3 linked regions of the Arabidopsis thaliana genome follow. The protein of the gene in region 1 purifies or fractionates together with the protein of each later gene. This does not show direct contact. Each region holds a gene or a part of one and is shown in the gene's direction. Other genes may lie near its edges.

The links.
Region 2: the proteins of LCB1 (region 1) and AT1G06515 purify together in Arabidopsis thaliana (affinity purification with western blotting, with the first as the bait; one study listed by BioGRID). This does not show direct contact.
Region 3: the proteins of LCB1 (region 1) and AT5G42000 purify together in Arabidopsis thaliana (affinity purification with western blotting, with the first as the bait; one study listed by BioGRID). This does not show direct contact.

The regions. Positions count from the first base shown.
Region 1 is NC_003075.7:17,216,195-17,222,894, forward strand, and holds LCB1 (long-chain base1), read left to right. Parts: upstream 1-1,714; 5' UTR 1,715-2,093; intron 2,094-2,113; exon of another isoform or gene 2,114-2,222; intron 2,223-2,303; 5' UTR 2,304-2,403; coding exon 2,404-2,509; intron 2,510-2,621; coding exon 2,622-2,716; intron 2,717-2,840; coding exon 2,841-2,932; intron 2,933-3,012; coding exon 3,013-3,106; intron 3,107-3,184; coding exon 3,185-3,257; intron 3,258-3,351; coding exon 3,352-3,484; intron 3,485-3,622; coding exon 3,623-3,797; intron 3,798-3,898; coding exon 3,899-4,039; intron 4,040-4,125; coding exon 4,126-4,221; coding exon of another isoform or gene 4,222-4,245; exon of another isoform or gene 4,246-4,313; coding exon 4,314-4,455; intron 4,456-4,554; coding exon 4,555-4,682; intron 4,683-4,756; coding exon 4,757-4,930; 3' UTR 4,931-5,431; downstream 5,432-6,700. Other genes in the region: AT4G36470 (S-adenosyl-L-methionine-dependent methyltransferases superfamily protein), read right to left, coding at 1-112, 198-281; SFH12 (SEC14-like 12), read left to right, coding at 5,905-5,920, 6,000-6,325, 6,422-6,688. UniProt on the Arabidopsis thaliana protein: Component of serine palmitoyltransferase (SPT), which catalyzes the committed step in the synthesis of sphingolipids, the condensation of serine with palmitoyl CoA to form the long chain base 3-ketosphinganine.
Region 2 is NC_003070.9:1,989,497-1,994,083, reverse strand, and holds AT1G06515 (transmembrane protein, putative (DUF3317)), read left to right. Parts: upstream 1-1,855; 5' UTR 1,856-2,031; intron 2,032-2,099; 5' UTR 2,100-2,115; coding exon 2,116-2,200; exon of another isoform or gene 2,201-2,497; intron 2,498-2,568; coding exon 2,569-2,641; intron 2,642-3,120; coding exon 3,121-3,133; 3' UTR 3,134-3,450; downstream 3,451-4,587. Other genes in the region: AT1G06510 (forkhead-associated domain protein), read right to left, coding at 501-540, 624-1,060, 1,178-1,377, 1,539-1,695; AT1G06500 (uncharacterized protein), read right to left, coding at 3,498-3,908.
Region 3 is NC_003076.8:16,797,369-16,802,371, forward strand, and holds AT5G42000 (ORMDL family protein), read left to right. Parts: upstream 1-1,849; 5' UTR 1,850-2,086; coding exon 2,087-2,263; intron 2,264-2,344; coding exon 2,345-2,493; coding exon of another isoform or gene 2,494-2,497; exon of another isoform or gene 2,498-3,174; coding exon 3,175-3,313; 3' UTR 3,314-3,734; downstream 3,735-5,003. Other genes in the region: WNK8 (with no lysine (K) kinase 8), read right to left, coding at 105-194; AT5G42010 (Transducin/WD40 repeat-like superfamily protein), read left to right, coding at 4,912-5,003.

The DNA.
Region 1 (6,700 bases):
GTCCTGAAGAACATCCTAGATCAGCTATTCCTAAACTCTTTGGTCTTGTCTCTTTGTAGAGTTGTTGAAGTGTCTCTAGTGTTATGTGCTTTGCCGTATCAGATGCTTTCTTCTACAAGATTAAAACAGGAAAAGTGGTTATAGAGAGTCAAAATTATGAACTAAGTGAAGATATGTGGGAAATCTCAAGAACCTACCTGGAGGGAAGAGTTTCTGGCATAACTAGTTTTTCCATCTCCTCCTGTCATGTAAAACTCTCTCTCCATATCCTTCTTATCCATCACAATAACAATAAAAGTGAAGAAATTTAGTATAATTTTGGGTTAGGGTTTGTTCTTTTGGTGTTAGAATTTGCTTTTCTTAAAGGAGAAATCTTTGGCCTGTCACTTCATTCTTCCATTACCCTACCTTTTTTTTTGTGTGTTTACTTTTCCATCTATTTTCTTTCTTGAAAATACGATGTGGGATTCGTTCATCATTGGTCATGATTCAACGAAAATAAATTTTTCTTTGGTTGGATGAATTTAGTTTAAGGAGAAATGGCAGGTGTAGTCCAAAGTGACCAAAAATAGGAATAAACAAAGTAGAGGATAATGTTTCATGTAAATATAAAGGATAAATTAGTCAAACAACATCATGATGGCTTCATGTAATGTTTGTACTTTCTTTACTCTGTTCTTGCTATCAGTGCTAGACTCTGTTCTTGCTTTGCGTGGTGGACTCTATTGCCATTTCTTGTTTAAGGACTTTTATTCGTTTAAACATAAACTAAATTTCATTAGAAAAATTACCCTTGCTAGAATCTATTTGGTGATTTATATGAAAAATCGTGGAATAGAATATGGATGATATTTTTAATTGTAATGTAAATGTTTCAAAACATACAAAAAAGTATAGGAAACTTTGGGAGATAGGAGGAAGAAGACTGATTGACTTTTGAAGGTAGAAAAAGCTATACAAGAATGAGTGATGATGATTGGTGTGTGTGTGTGTGTGACCACCATTTCCTTCTCTTTTTCTCTCTTTCTCCTTACCGTAAGGCTTTTTTAGTAATCTTCTTTCTCTCTCTGCCTTGCCTTCAAGATTTTAGTGGTGGTCATGAATGCTTGTTGCGTCATAAGGGTAGTGTAAATGCTCTGTTAGGTGAGAGAGACTGTGTGTTGGTACTTGGTATGATAAGGTTTTTGTGGTTAGAGAGAGGGCCGAGGGGGACGCACGCGTGTCGCTTGAGGGATTAATGCAAAACCGTAACGTATCAATCTTTTTTCTTCATATAATCTCTTCTTCAACCATGATCGTCTCTCTCTTGTTGCTTACGTTTTGTTTTTTCAAGTGTGGTGAAAAGTTAATCACTTAAAAGTTAGTCATTGGGCCTCTAACAAAGCCCATATTTAAAACCTAAGACCGTTCCATTAAAATGACGTCGTATCTAAGCAACTAATTCGTGAGATGTAAATATGAATATGATATGATACTATGGTTGAACAGAATAGGAATAATATATGTATAGTGTAATGTAAATGCTACAAAATATTACAGAAAAAGTAGGGGGAACTTTGGGGTCGAATATGATTACAAGAAGGTTAGAAAAAAGCTAAACAAGAATGAGTGGTGATGATTGGTGTGTGTGACCACCATTTTCCTCTTTCTGTCTCTTCCTTACCTTTAGGCTTTAGTACTCTTTCTTTCTCTCTTTGCATTGTCCTTTAAGACTTTAGTGGTGGTGATGAATGCTTACTAGTGACTGTGTCACAGTGTGTGCTGTTGAAACATTGGGCCTCTAGGCCCATATCTAACACTTAAACGGCGTCGTATCGATGAACCAACACACAGATCTGGGCCCAGGATTCTACTGACGTATTACGAACATAGACAGATCCGCTCGTCTTCTTCTTTTACTTTTTTTTTTTTCTCTCTGAAATTGATTTTTTTTTTTTGCCGTCTGCGTTATCAAAAATCTCGAAAAAACGTTGAAAGTCAATCTTTTTGCATCGCCGAATTTGAACAACACTCCTCGTGTGTTTGACACTCTTGTGGGCACGATACCTTCTGCTCCTTGTCCATTTTGCCACCCAAAATCCAATTGGGATCAGGTAACGTTCCTCGTTTATTTGTCGGATCTATTTGTAATCATATATACTTTCTTAATCTGTTCTCCGAGATTTCGATTTCTCGTTGCTCAGTGATCCGATGCCAGATCTTTCCTGATAGTTTTTTTTTGGGTCGAATTTGGATTCAAAATTGCCACTTTTTGTTGTGAATTTTGAAAATTTGTAATACTAATTGAAGATTGGGTTTTGTAGGTTTTCCCAAAGTTGAGCTAGCTTCTCTTATGCTCGATTCGTCGAGCAAATTAATACTATAGAAGAAAAAAGTACAGAGCTTTATTAAAGCAAATTAGCAATGGCTTCGAATCTCGTGGAAATGTTTAATGCTGCTTTGAATTGGGTTACTATGATTCTGGAGAGTCCTTCAGCTAGAGTTGTCTTGTTTGGTGTCCCAATCCGAGGTATAGATTTGAAGAAACAACTTTAAGTGAACTTTGTCTGTCTATCCAAGTTTGTTGGTTATTTGAGATTACTAAAGATTTCAACTTTTTTGTTTTTGTTTTCGTTTTCCAGGGCACTTCTTTGTGGAAGGGTTGTTGGGTGTTGTCATTATCATTCTCCTCACTCGGAAGAGTTATAAACCTCCCAAGCGACCATTGACCGAGCAGGTTCTGTCTCAGATCCTTTCTTGATATTGGTTTGATAGATCACATAGGATTTGGTTCGTGGTGACATCTTTGATGTGTGGTATAGTTGAAATGTATTGAGTTTTCGGGGTTTTTTATTACTCAGGAAATAGATGAGTTGTGTGATGAGTGGGTTCCTGAACCTCTTATACCGCCAATTACTGAAGACATGAAGCATGAGCCACCAGTTCTTGAAAGGTAACGTAGAAGACTTCTATGTAGTTCGTTGTATAGCCTTATTCTGTGTTATGCTTAAAGATTTTGTTGGGTCCATACAGTGCTGCTGGACCGCATACAACAGTTAATGGAAAAGATGTGGTGAATTTTGCCTCAGCTAATTATCTTGGGCTCATTGGCCACGAGAAGTTGCTGGTAACGTGAAGCTACTTTGTTTTCAATACAATCTCTCTTCTGTTTGAATAGTTTTATTTAAGATTTGTCTTATGCCAGGAATCATGTACTTCTGCATTAGAAAAATATGGGGTCGGTTCTTGTGGGCCTCGTGGATTCTATGGTACAATTGGTAAGAAGACAATAATTTTCTAAATAGATACTTTGGTTCATCCATTGGCTCGCTTGGAAAGGGTTCTTACTGTTTGATTACTTCTCTTGACTAGATGTCCACCTTGACTGCGAAACCAGAATATCCAAATTTTTGGGTACTCCTGATTCAATCCTTTACTCTTATGGACTTTCCACAATGTTCAGCACAATTCCTTGTTTCTGTAAGAAAGGCGATGTCATTGTTGCGTAAGTACACAATTTCTTATAACATCGTTCTACTTATTAGATTACGTTAGTAGAAATCCCAGGATTACATTGAACATCTTTGTTTGAAACTTTTTTATCTCGATATTAAACTCATTCTTGTCTTTTCTATTTTCTTAGTGATGAGGGTGTTCACTGGGGAATACAAAATGGACTTCAGCTTTCAAGAAGTACAATTGTGTACTTCAAGCACAATGACATGGAATCCCTTCGAATTACCCTTGAGAAAATCATGACAAAGTACAAGCGCTCAAAGAACTTGAGGCGTTATATTGTAGCTGAAGCTGTATATCAAGTACCTGGCAGTTTTCTTTCTTCTCCTGCTTCCATATTTTGAAAATTCTCCCTGAACTGTGATGCTTACCCATTTGCCTTTGGGTATGTTAAAATCTACAGAATTCAGGTCAAATTGCGCCTCTGGATGAGATTGTAAAACTAAAAGAGAAGTATCGGTTTCGTGTTATATTGGATGAAAGCAACTCTTTTGGTGTGCTTGGCCGTTCTGGGAGAGGTCTTGCAGAGCATCATAGTGTCCCTGTAAGTATGATTGACACACATTTTAGTAGTGTTCTCATTTGCCAAACCTGATGCTAAAAATTTCACGGCGGTTTATCTTTAAACAGATTGAGAAGATAGATGTTGTGACTGCTGCAATGGGCCATGCATTAGCCACAGAAGGTGGATTTTGCACTGGGAATGCCCGCATCATCGATTACCAGGTAAACATCGATCATGCTGATTAACTAATTACAAACAAAATTAAAAAACTACCGATAATAGAAACTTTTCTCTGGGACGCTCAAATGCACAGAGACTTAGCAGTTCAGGATATGTGTTCTCTGCTTCTTTACCACCATACCTTGCAAGTGCTGCTATCACCGCCATTGATGTCATTGATCAAAACCCTGATATGTTAGTTAAGCTGAAGCAAAATGTTGCTCTGTTATGGAAAGGTTTGATCTTCAAGTTTTAATCTAATCTAGCAACAATTAGAGTTTGATTTAGTTTGTTATCTTCCTCTAATTGAAAAAGAAATGCTGGGAACAACGCAGGATTGTCAGATATCAAGGGGATGTCATTAACAAGCAACCGGGAATCACCTATTGTTTTCTTAAAATTAGAGAAATCTAGCGGTTCAGCTAAAGATGATTTGCTTCTACTTGAGAAAATGGCTGACCGTGTAAGTTCATTGTTTCTTTGCAAAACCAAATCTAGACCCTGTCCCCGTTTCTTGACATGACTAGATGCATGCAGGCTCTGAAGGAAGACTCATTGTTGGTTGTGAGTTCTAAAAGATCATTTCTTGATAAATGCCGGTTACCTGTGGGAATCAAACTCTACGTCTCAGCGGGACATTCGGAATCCGATCTTCTTAAAGCGTCGGAGTCACTGAAGAGACTTGCTTCAGAGCTTCTACTCAAGTCCTGAAACACCGAAACTCTTTTTTCTTCAAGAACAACAACACTGAAGGGAACTCTTTGAACACATCCGTGTGAGATAGTAGACAACAGAATCCGCAGAGTCAGTAGCTTGAAGATGTTCATAGCAGATTCCTAAACTGGTTCTCCACTTTCAGTGATGGGCTTGTGGTTGATCTGAAGCTCAATTGACGAAGGAGGATTATCGAAGACAATGGCTTCTTGTTCTTACATTTATTTCATTTGATCATCTGAGTTCTTTTTTTTTTTTTCCTACTCATACCCTTCAATGATCAAGTAGCTTAGTGTTGTTGCCGAAATTCAAAAACTTTCAATTTATGGGAAACAAAAAAGTTCATGTGCTGACATCAGCCTCTTAAGGCTTTCTGAGTTTCTTGCGGTAAAAGAAAGTGTTTTTGCCTCTCTCAAATCTCAATAGTATTGACACGTGTCAGTATAACACTCGTGCATAATTGACACGTGTCAGTATAACACTCGTGGGCGGTATAATGTGAACGAAAGAGCGAGGGACAGGTAATCTCTCTTCCTCTGTTTCTAAGTTTGTATAATTAGAACTGCATAACGAAAAACAAAAACAAAACAGTGACCAAAAAAAGAAGAAGAATCAATGGTTGGGGAAAGAGAGAATATGAGGTGGAGCTTTACCTCGACGTTAATGGAGTTGAGAATCCAATGGAACGATTTTGAGAGATTTTCGGAGCAATCTCACTCTCCTTTTATCTTTCTCCTTCCTCTCATTTCCTCTTTGCAGAGGTAATTTATCTTTTAATTGTCTCTCTGTTTTGTTCTGTTTTCTTAACTTCATGTTCATCGTTATCGTTGTTCGAATTTGATTTGTAATTAGGGAATGTGAATTTCTTACAGGAATTTGGCAAAGGGCATTGGCTAAAAATAATAAGACACTCGTTAGAGTGCTCGTCCCTCGTGCCCTTACCTGCCTAATTCCAACTATCTGGCAAAATCATGACTTTGATCCAAGGTATAGTAAACAAAAATGAAGAGATTTTTTAGTTCTCTGTTTTGTTATCTTCTTGTTCTTGATGTTGTTTTGTGTTTAGATGCCGAGTTGAAACCAAGGATGGGTTCTTTTAAGAAGAGGAGCTCTTCTAAGAATTTGAGGTATTCAATGACAAAGAGAAGAAGAAGTAGCAAAGTGATGTCTGTGGAGATCATCGAAGATGTGCATGACGCAGAGGAGTTGAAAGCCGTTGATGCTTTTCGCCAATCGCTTATTCTCGATGAGCTACTCCCGGAGAAACACGATGACTACCATATGATGCTTAGATTTTTGAAGGCTAGAAAATTTGATCTTGAGAAAACCAAACAGATGTGGACTGAAATGCTTAGATGGAGGAAAGAATTTGGTGCTGATACTGTCATGGAGGTATGATTATTATTCTAGAGGAACGTTTTGCAGATTTGAAAATGGTCTCTTTGAGTAGTACTAACATTCTCTTCTTTGGTTTTGTATATTTTTAAGGAGTTTGATTTCAAGGAAATTGATGAAGTGTTGAAATACTACCCTCAAGGACACCATGGAGTTGACAAGGAAGGACGACCTGTGTACATTGAGAGGCTTGGTTTAGTAGATTCTACCAAGTTGATGCAAGTCACAACCATGGATAGGTATGTCAACTACCATGTTATGGAGTTTGAGAGGACCTTCAATGTTAAGTTCCCAGCGTGCTCTATCGCCGCGAAGAAGCACATTGATCAGAGCACAACTATTCTTGATGTCCAAGGAGTGGTATGTAAAAAA
Region 2 (4,587 bases), on another chromosome or scaffold:
TGGTTGATTCATTGGCATCATTTCTATTTCTTATCACTCGGGACCATTGATATGTATTGAAAATGTTTGCTTTATATGATTTTGTTTCTGGATTTGTATAGTCCATAATCTCAACCTGTCGCTTTAGTGCCATTAATTTTATTCCTAGAACAAATGAAATGATTTCAGAGTTAGTTGAAATCAATATTAATTGTATACATCTAATCTAATAGTATGTTATTCACTTATTATTTACTTAATGATGCTCCTAAGTATTGATATCACATTAATAATCATGATCCCATATCACAACAACATTAACGTGAACGACCATATTAACTTCATATCACATCAAAATTTAATGTATCACCTTAGAAGATATTAATATTCACACCAAGAAAATGACTATACCTGTCTAAACAGAATGATTAAAGAAAGGAAAATTGCTAGATTAACTTTTCATACCAAGAGTGGCTTCCTTTCTTTAGTTCACTGCGCTGGTAAGTAATGCTTGAAGCACACTAACTGATGTTTGCCTCTTTGCAAATGATATTTGCGATTCTACACAAGCAAAACAAAACTTAATGGACTGAGTAATTCTGCAGTGTTAGAAGTAAAACTTAGTGATGCTTTGAATGCATTACCTTTCCCTCACACGACGAATCTCTTCAAGAATTTCTGCAGTCTGCTGAACCTTAAGATTCTTGGGTTTATCTTCATGATTAAGCACCAAGGATGCAACATTTACAACAGTAACTAGTTCAGCTTCGATTCTGCTAAGTTTCTGGTCTAAATTTTCCAAGAAAGATTCATAAGAAGACACTTCTTTCAGGATGCTACCTATTGAAACATCTTCTAGTACATTATTATTGGTATCAAGAAGTTCTTGGTAATCCTCAACATTCCTTTCAATAAGTTGAATTCCCTCAGAATCCAAGTGAGTGTGGTCATTTTCGACCCCGTCTTCAGTAGATTCGGGCTTTGGCGATACAATGTGGATACCACCTGAAGTATTCTCTCCATCCTCTTCGAGATCCAAAGATATATTGCCTATCAGCTGTGTTTCCTTGACAGATATTGCCTGAAACCAAACCAAGCTTTCAAGACATAGTTAGATAGATTTCTGGGGCAATTGAAAACAAACAAACAACCAAAACAATAACATTTCTTAACAAGTAAGAGTATTGTTTGTTTGTACCTCGTTAAGTTTGGAAGAAAGCGTATCGAGCAACTCGATACGAGCTTTAGCCTTGTCCAAAGCTTGCATAACTTTTTTCTTCTGAAGAAGTAGATCTCTGGCATCATTCTCTTTCCCTGTTCGAACATTGACAGCTGCTTGTTCCCGTAGATTCTCTGCAGCCTCAGATAATCTCAAAAGTCTCAACCTATTACTGTTTGCTGGACCAACAACAACAAAGACCAAAAATAAATCAAATTGACATCATCAATCACTGGATTCACAAGCAGTAAAACCATGCTGAAACCAGCACCTCATCTTTCCAAAGTCTACGACTTTGAAATCACACATTAAAACGAAGATTAGCGAATAAAGATTCCACCTTTGGCACGAGTGGACTCTGCCTCCGCGTGAAGCCGATCAAGCTGGGAGCGAAGAAGGTCAGAATTTGCGGTGGCAGAGAAGCATCTCAGGCTCGTTGGAATCCTCCGAGACTGAGCAATCACCACCGGAACTCCGCCGATGGTCGTCGTCACCATGTTTGGTCTTCTTACAAAGCGCACACGTTCTGTGACATTGCAGTCTCCGTTATCCGGTTAGTTCTACAAACCGATTTTGAATACCTGGTTCATCTAAACCGGTAATTAAGACTAAACCGGGGTGGGAAAATGAATTGAGGATGAGATTAGTATTTACCGTGACAGAGTTTTCCAACTTTGACGTCTCCGTCAAAATTTGATTTCTCTTCTGTATTTGACGACGACACTTCAATCAAAATCTGGAGTCAGATACAGTTCCCTAGATCGAGAATCTCCAGGCGCTTTGTAATCCTGTTTAGTATATCTTTGTCAAGTTCTCTGTCAGAGATTTACCGGGTAAATTTTGAATCTTGGATCAGGTTTTTGTCAATTTCAGATTTGTAATCTCCCGCTTCTTACTGTAGGAATCGATCAGAAGATATGAACTGGGTTCAACGCAAAATCTACCTTTATAATGTCACATTCGGGCTCTACATGCTTGATTGGTGGGAACGATACCTCTTCAGTATCCTTTTTTCCTCACTCTATCCCTCCATGCTTCATTCGTTCTCTCCATCGATTTTGGTTTATCTGTGCTCCAATTTCGATTTACCCTTTCATTAGAAAGATGCAAGTTTTGATTTTTACATCTTTGGTGATATATGGTGGCATTGTGTTCTGTTCTCTTGTGTTGTCGTCTTAAGCATTGTGTCTGTTCAATTTTAGAATTTTGTTTTTAAAAAGCTACTTTCTTAAAATTTTGTCTTCAACTTCAGAGTTTGGATTATAGTCTCTACTGAATAATATACTGTCAATTGAGATAATTTTTTGCTAGTTTACAAGGACTTAAGATCTTTGCTTGCATCTTCTTTGCCTTTCCTCAACTCTTTTCAGATTCTTTGGTGGTTGTTTTGATGTGGTTCGTTTTATACAACGGTACTCGCTACTTTTCGGAGCTTTTCCAGAGGTAAAACACTTGATGATGCTCTTTGCGCACACCTTAAGCTTGTTAAGGTTTCCTTGACACTAATTTTGCTATTGTTGTAACAATTTTTGGTACTTATCTAGTTCTTTTTGCTACTTTGGTCTTATGGTTTCATTAGCGGGTTTCTAAGTGATGAGTGTTATGATACAATATGCTGTTTGGCCTCATCTTCATCTCTGAAACAAGTTTCACGGTTTCCCATGATTCGTAGTATATGTTTTCACAAAAGGATAAGTCCATCATTTACTTAAACATTATCCTACCTTCTCTTGTGCATTTAGTTAGGGTAGATATTAAGCCTCCCCAGAAGGTGATTGGATTGGAGTTAGAGAAGTCTTTAGTTTGCCTGATGGACTTACTGCTGCTGCTTGCTATCTGAATCTTATTATGCTGATTGTTCGAAACTTTTGAGAAGCAATTGAAGCTCTTTCATGATAATTTCTTGTATCCTCGCATTGCAGGCATTTGACATGAAAACATGTCTTGTTTCTCGCACAGTAGAGCACGAAAAGCCTAGATCATCCAAAGGCATGTACGTTTGGTTCCAATTTCTGAGACGTATACCAGCAAAAATCCCTCTTTCGGCGTCACCTCTGTTTTTGTTAATTTTCCTCCAAAGGCTCTAGGACAGTTCTTATGTCTCTATATTATTTGTTCCCATGTTTTTGCAATTAACAGAAATGATTTTGTAGACTCGTAAGATCGCAAGTCTTCCTGTTGTATTTCCAGTTCACTTAGAGACATAATAACATAGTTGCAGGAGTTAATGAACTTGCGGATTACATATAACAGAGCATAATTTTTAAGAGGGAGCTCTGTTCTAAATCTACAAACGAACTTAGGAAGAATCAGGGGTAACCCAATCCTTTGGCATTGCAGAGTTGAAGATCTGAAACAGCAAAGCTTGATCTCTCTTGCCTGGTCTTTTTGAACCAAATCCTTGATGCAGACCAAGTTCAACCGCTTCTCTTCCTTCTTCCGCTATTCTTTTCCTAATAGCTACCAAAGAATTTTGCGTCTCATCACAAGCTGCTACATGTCCATTTTCAGTGTTCTCTCCTCCACCATCTTCTCGTCCGCCTTTCTCTGCCCTTCCCCACCATTTGTTTGACACAGTTGTTAACCCGCCTGATGGGAATCCAAATTTGAACTCATCTACAGCTGCCACTGTCTTTGCCAAGTTAGTATTAGCCCATACATTTGACTTGCCACTCTTGTTTCCCCCATGCTGCACCGTCGAATGCATCATCGTGTGTGTGTCCTCGGGTTCAGATTATGTTACGAACCACTGTAATTAAAAGAATCATGAATCAAAGGGAAAGAAAAACGATACTAGTAAGCACCAGTTTTAACCATTATATCAAGAAGAAGACTTGAATGTTTTCTTTTTGAACAAAACCAAACCACACAGAGAAGAGGGTCTCGCAAATATCAACAGTACAAAGACATAATACAGGAACGTTGCTACATCTGTGAATTAGACCCAGAAGCCTCTAGAATCAAAACATAGAGGCTCAATACTTCCTGGAATCAATGTGTAAGGAACTAGATCTGGAATTAGACAGCCTAGATAACAGTTCCCTAAACGACTCAAACGTTATGAATTTCAGAAAAGTCCAGACCTTTTCCAATTTTCATCTGTATAACATACCCAATTGTGGCACTAAAACCCTAATTTCATGCGTCTGATAAAACTCTCTGCATTGAATCGAAGATTACCTTCTTCTTTTTTCAGAGAGCGTCCTCTTTGGCGTACCCTAGAGCGAAAACAAACAATCCAAACAAGGAAAATAAGAAAAGCCTAGAGCTTTAGATGAAGTATCAAAGTATAAAACACTCGGTAGAGAAACCAATCTTCAGATTTTCGCAAATAGATAACAGAGGCAATGCATACATACCAAAAAGGAGCTTCCTTTGGTCTATATGGA
Region 3 (5,003 bases), on another chromosome or scaffold:
TCTCAAATTCTGATCAATTTCCTCATAATTCAACAATAAAAAACACTCAACCAAACGAGATTGAATGCAAATTCACACATGAATCAACGAAGACAGTGACGTACCCTGATGTAACGGCCAGAAGGATCTTTCTCGGCAAAATCAGCCTCTTCCATGGACGATATCTGACCTAAAAATCCAGAACCAGAAGCCATATATGTATGCACAACACAACAAACAAAGCAATCGAGAACAGAAGGAGAAGAAGAAAAAAGTGGAGAATTTAAGGTGAGATTGAAGATGAAAAGAAAGAAAGCTGAAGAGGACGGAGGTTATTACAAAGAAAAAGGTTATAAGAAGAAGAAATGGACGGAGGAGATACAATCGGAGAAAGCCTCACGAGCGAAGCAATAAGAATCGATTGAAGAAGTTCGAAATCGAGATCGGAAACGGAGTTTGGCGGCGAAAGAAATCCCCATCATCTCCGATTTTCCGATTTCCCGATCTCTTCTCCCGTCGTGATTCCGTCTCTTCTCTTTTATCCGATTAAATCCTTCCATTGATGATCCACCATGATTTTGATTTTGGTCCCCGAAAGAATCTGCTAGATCGATAGAGAAAAAACGAAGGATGATGATGATGATGAAATCAATGAAAGGAATTTCGGAGAAAGGGAATTTAGGAAGAACAAAACAAAAAAAGGTTGGCGGCCAAATAAATCGGAAAGTCAAATTATCTGTCTTTATCAACTAACGCACTTTCTCTTATATTTGAGATTATTCTACTAATTATGTATCCTCTGTTTTCATTTTATTTCAGCTGACTTTAGGCCATTTATGCAATTACATGTTTCAGGTTATGAATAATTTCTACTAATAAAACATTATGCTAGGTGCACCAAAAAAAAAACATTATGTAAATCCTCAGAAATACGATGTTATTTCCTTTGTTTCAAAATATAAAATGTTTAAAACAATCACACATATTAAGATCATTCTTTCTAAAAAATATTATTTATAGAATTAAAAATTTTAACTAATCATAAGAAAAAACTGCAGAATATAAATGATCACAAATTATCAAATACATTTAATTTTCATAGAAACTAACAAAATATTTTTTAATATTTAAAAGATAAACTTTTATAACATCTTATATTTTAATTAGAGGGAATAGTAATCTATTTAAAGTTTTTTTTCTGTGCATGGAAATCAAGAAATTGTGGAATCTAAATTCTATAAGTTTAATAAAAAGATATAGCTAGTTCAAATTTAATGAACCTTGGATAGTATAGCATTAATACGAAATCATTTTGTCGTTGAATAATATATTTTGTGTTAAAAGTCCAATTGCTTTTATTGAATAAGTTGGTGAGACAGAGTGTGTGATGAAGAAAAGAAAAAACAAAAAAATTGTAAGTTTGTCTTAAAAAACCAACGAGGCTTAATCGTGTTTATTGTAATCATTAGGTGAATCTAAATCTAATCCTCATCAAGTTGAAAATATGAGAAGAACAAAAAACTGATAATTTTAGATATTTATTCGAAGATGTTTTTTAAAATGGTATTTTATTCGAAATATTTTTCACGGAAGCACTGGATGGAAAATTTGGTAGCAAAAAAAAAAGGATTTCGAAATTTGGCAGCTAAAATTTGTTCAAAAATAAAATGAAATAACTCTTACTAATATGGTCAAGAATTAACTTCAGAACATATTTTGAAAATGTAAATTAAATTATCGGATGAAAAGGTACGGGTCGGGTCGGAAAACCGGTGTGTTTTGTAATGGGCCTCTATGTAAGCTGACAAGAAAAGTCCAATAAATTAAAAATATGAGTCGTCGTGGTTTATCGAGTGACGCGTTGAGAGTCTTGAGACAGAGTTACTGATAATCATTGTTTTAGGCTAAGATCGGTGAGCCACCCAACCACCTTCCTATTTTAATTTAATGCTTCTTTTTAAAAAAATTGTAGAAAATAAAAAGCCCAGAAAGAGCCCAAAGAACGCAGCAGAGAAAAAAAAAACAAAGAAGAAAGAAAACTTGCTCAACGACGATTCATCAATCATCATCTCCGATCTTCTTCCAAATCCCTCCGGTGAAAAAGACGATGTACGTAAGAGCACTTCCGACGACGGATGTGAATCGGAACACAGAGTGGTTCACATATCCTGGTGTTTGGACTACTTATATTCTCATCCTCTTCTTCTCTTGGCTCCTCGTTCTCTCCGTCTTCCATTGTTCTCCTGGCATCGCTTGGACCATTGTTCATCTCGCTCATTTCACCGTATTATTCCCGATCTCCTCCGATCCAATTTCGAAATTGTTGGTTTCTAGATTTGAATTTTTGAGTTTTTTTGTTTTCTAGGTCACGTATCATTCCTTCCATTGGAAGAAGGGAACACCATTTGGAGATGATCAAGGAGTCTATAATAGATTGACTTGGTGGGAACAGATTGATAATGGCAAGCAGCTTACACGTAATCGCAAATTTCTCACCGTTGTTCCTGTTGTCTTGTAAGTTCCTTCTCTCATATCTCATTAGGATTTTGTTTTGCATCATCATCTCTTGTTGATCTTGTTCAGTATCGAAAAATTGAATGCCTTACCTTATTTTCTATGATTGTTTCTGTATTTGGTGTAATTTTTGCTTAAGTTATGTTTTAGAGATACATTGATCTTCGTTTCCCTACCTACTTGTTCTTTATCTTATTGTAGCTCATTTTACATCTGGTTATATAGAGATGCTAGTCAATGAGCTTAATTACAATTCTATTCCTAGGTGAAGTGGTTGTTTTGACAATTTGATTTGCAATTATTACTACACAGAATACATTTTGACATGACAATCAGATACACAAGAGTCAAGACACTACCGTTCTTCTCATTTTGATTTCTGTTTGTTGACTAGTGCTTCAAATCTGTTCACTGATTAGGGTTGGACCTAAGTTTCCTACTATGATTAAACTCGCTTGATTATTAAGGTCTTTTAGCTAGTGCTCAAGAGCCTTGGATTTAGATTTAGATTTAGACATTCGTACAAGACATAAGGTCTGTTATGAGTTTGCTGAATCTCTCTTAAAAGAAGCACTACTAGATTATGTGTAGTGGAATACCTCAATTGTGTTGTGTGTGACGAATATGTAATCAATGATTGGATCTTTGTGACATAAAAGTCTGACCAAACTTTGTATGTAGGTACTTGATAGCCTCTCACACAACAGACTATCAGCACCCGATGCTCTTTCTCAACACACTGGCTGTATTTGTCATGGTGGTTGCGAAATTCCCGCACATGCACAAGGTCCGCATATTTGGAATCAATGGAGACCAATGAAAAAACTTGAGAAAACAAAGAAAAAGGTCTGTGTATAATGCGAATCAGAGTATTTGGAATGTGGAATCCAACAACAAATGCCATCATCATCATTCAACATGTCTGTACTATACAGACATTGAATCCCTTAACCGGAGAAAATGTGTTATTTGGTCACATCCCATCATCGCATATTCAAACCTTTCTACTCTTTGTTTGGGGCTTCTAATCAATTCATATTTGATCTCTTTTGTGGTTCTCTTAGTTTCTTATTTGTATAATCCCAAAACTGGTTACAACAGAAAGTTGTTTAGCGAGCAATCTAGGGTTTGAATGAATAGTTGGGGAAGATTTATTTATATATACCGTTTTTGATATATATATATATATCATCTTTATAACTAAATCCGATGATTTTGTTGTTGTTGGTGAATTACGTTAGTGACAAGGGTAAAGACATTTTAGCACACGTGAGGTAATGTATTGAGCTCAAAAGGGAAATTGACAAAATCGTGTTCCCACCACCTGAAAACAATATTTTTTTTTTATATTCAAATTTACTGTTAGTGTGTAAATGAATAATTAGATGACATTAAACCAAATTAAAAACAATAGGGAATTTTTAAAAACAATTTGTCCATTTGTACCCTGAGTTATCACCTTGTTCCTAATTGTTTAGTGAATAGGTGGGTAACATATATCGATATTGACTCACACAAAAAAGACTAGAATTTGTTCATCTATCAATAGGCAAATAACTAAAACAAACAATGACCAAATCAAAACGTGGAAAAACAAAAAAAAATAATGGGAAAGATCAATTTTTCTTAAATTAAGATGTAGTATAATGTCGTTTATCTCAAATCAAGAGAAGAAAAGTAAAAATACATTAAAGAAAGACAAATCAACATATGATTATTGAAATAAAAGTGGGATTAGAATATTCATGTTGACTAAGTAAGTGCAAACAAATGTTTGACTATTTCAAAATTAGTTTTTTAATAAATAAAAAAACAAGAGAGAAGAAAAAGACAAAAGAAGAAGGAAAGGATCTTTGTTCTGTTTTATTTGTTTCTCTCTTCCTCTCTTCTTCTTCTTCTTCTTCGTACAATCGAAGAAACAAAACCTCTCAATTTCCGAATATCTCGCTCTTAAACCCTCTCCAATATCTTTCTTTCAAAACCCAACCTTTTGTTTATAAAAACCTTCGCAAGGATTTGCGACTTTAAGAAACGTGACCCGAATCGTCGCAATGTTTGGATAAGAGTTTTAAACTCATTCGTTTCGATGCAATCATTTTGACCAGACAAAGACTATTTATAAGAAAGAGCAGAATTTTGATTCAAACCCGGTTTGATTTTGGTGAAGATGTAAGTAAATCTCTCATAAACTCTTCGTTTTCTCTGTTGGGTTCTTTGCTTTACCCTTAAGTAATCTCCTTTTTGCCGATGGTATTGATTTGCCATGAGTTTATCTTACTACTTCCTTTTGGTGTTACGTGTGGATTAGTTTTATTCGAACCATGGTTGCAAATTTCTGTCCTTTTTCAGCAATTGTGTCCGATATTTGACTTTGTGAATTCTGACGAAATCTGTGTGTTTTTGATCAGAAGCTGTGAGATGGGTACTCGAGGGAACGAGGAAGAGGAAGATTGGTTTTCTGATGCTCGTGAGGAGGTTTCATCTGTTTCTGATTGTAACTCTGAAGTCGC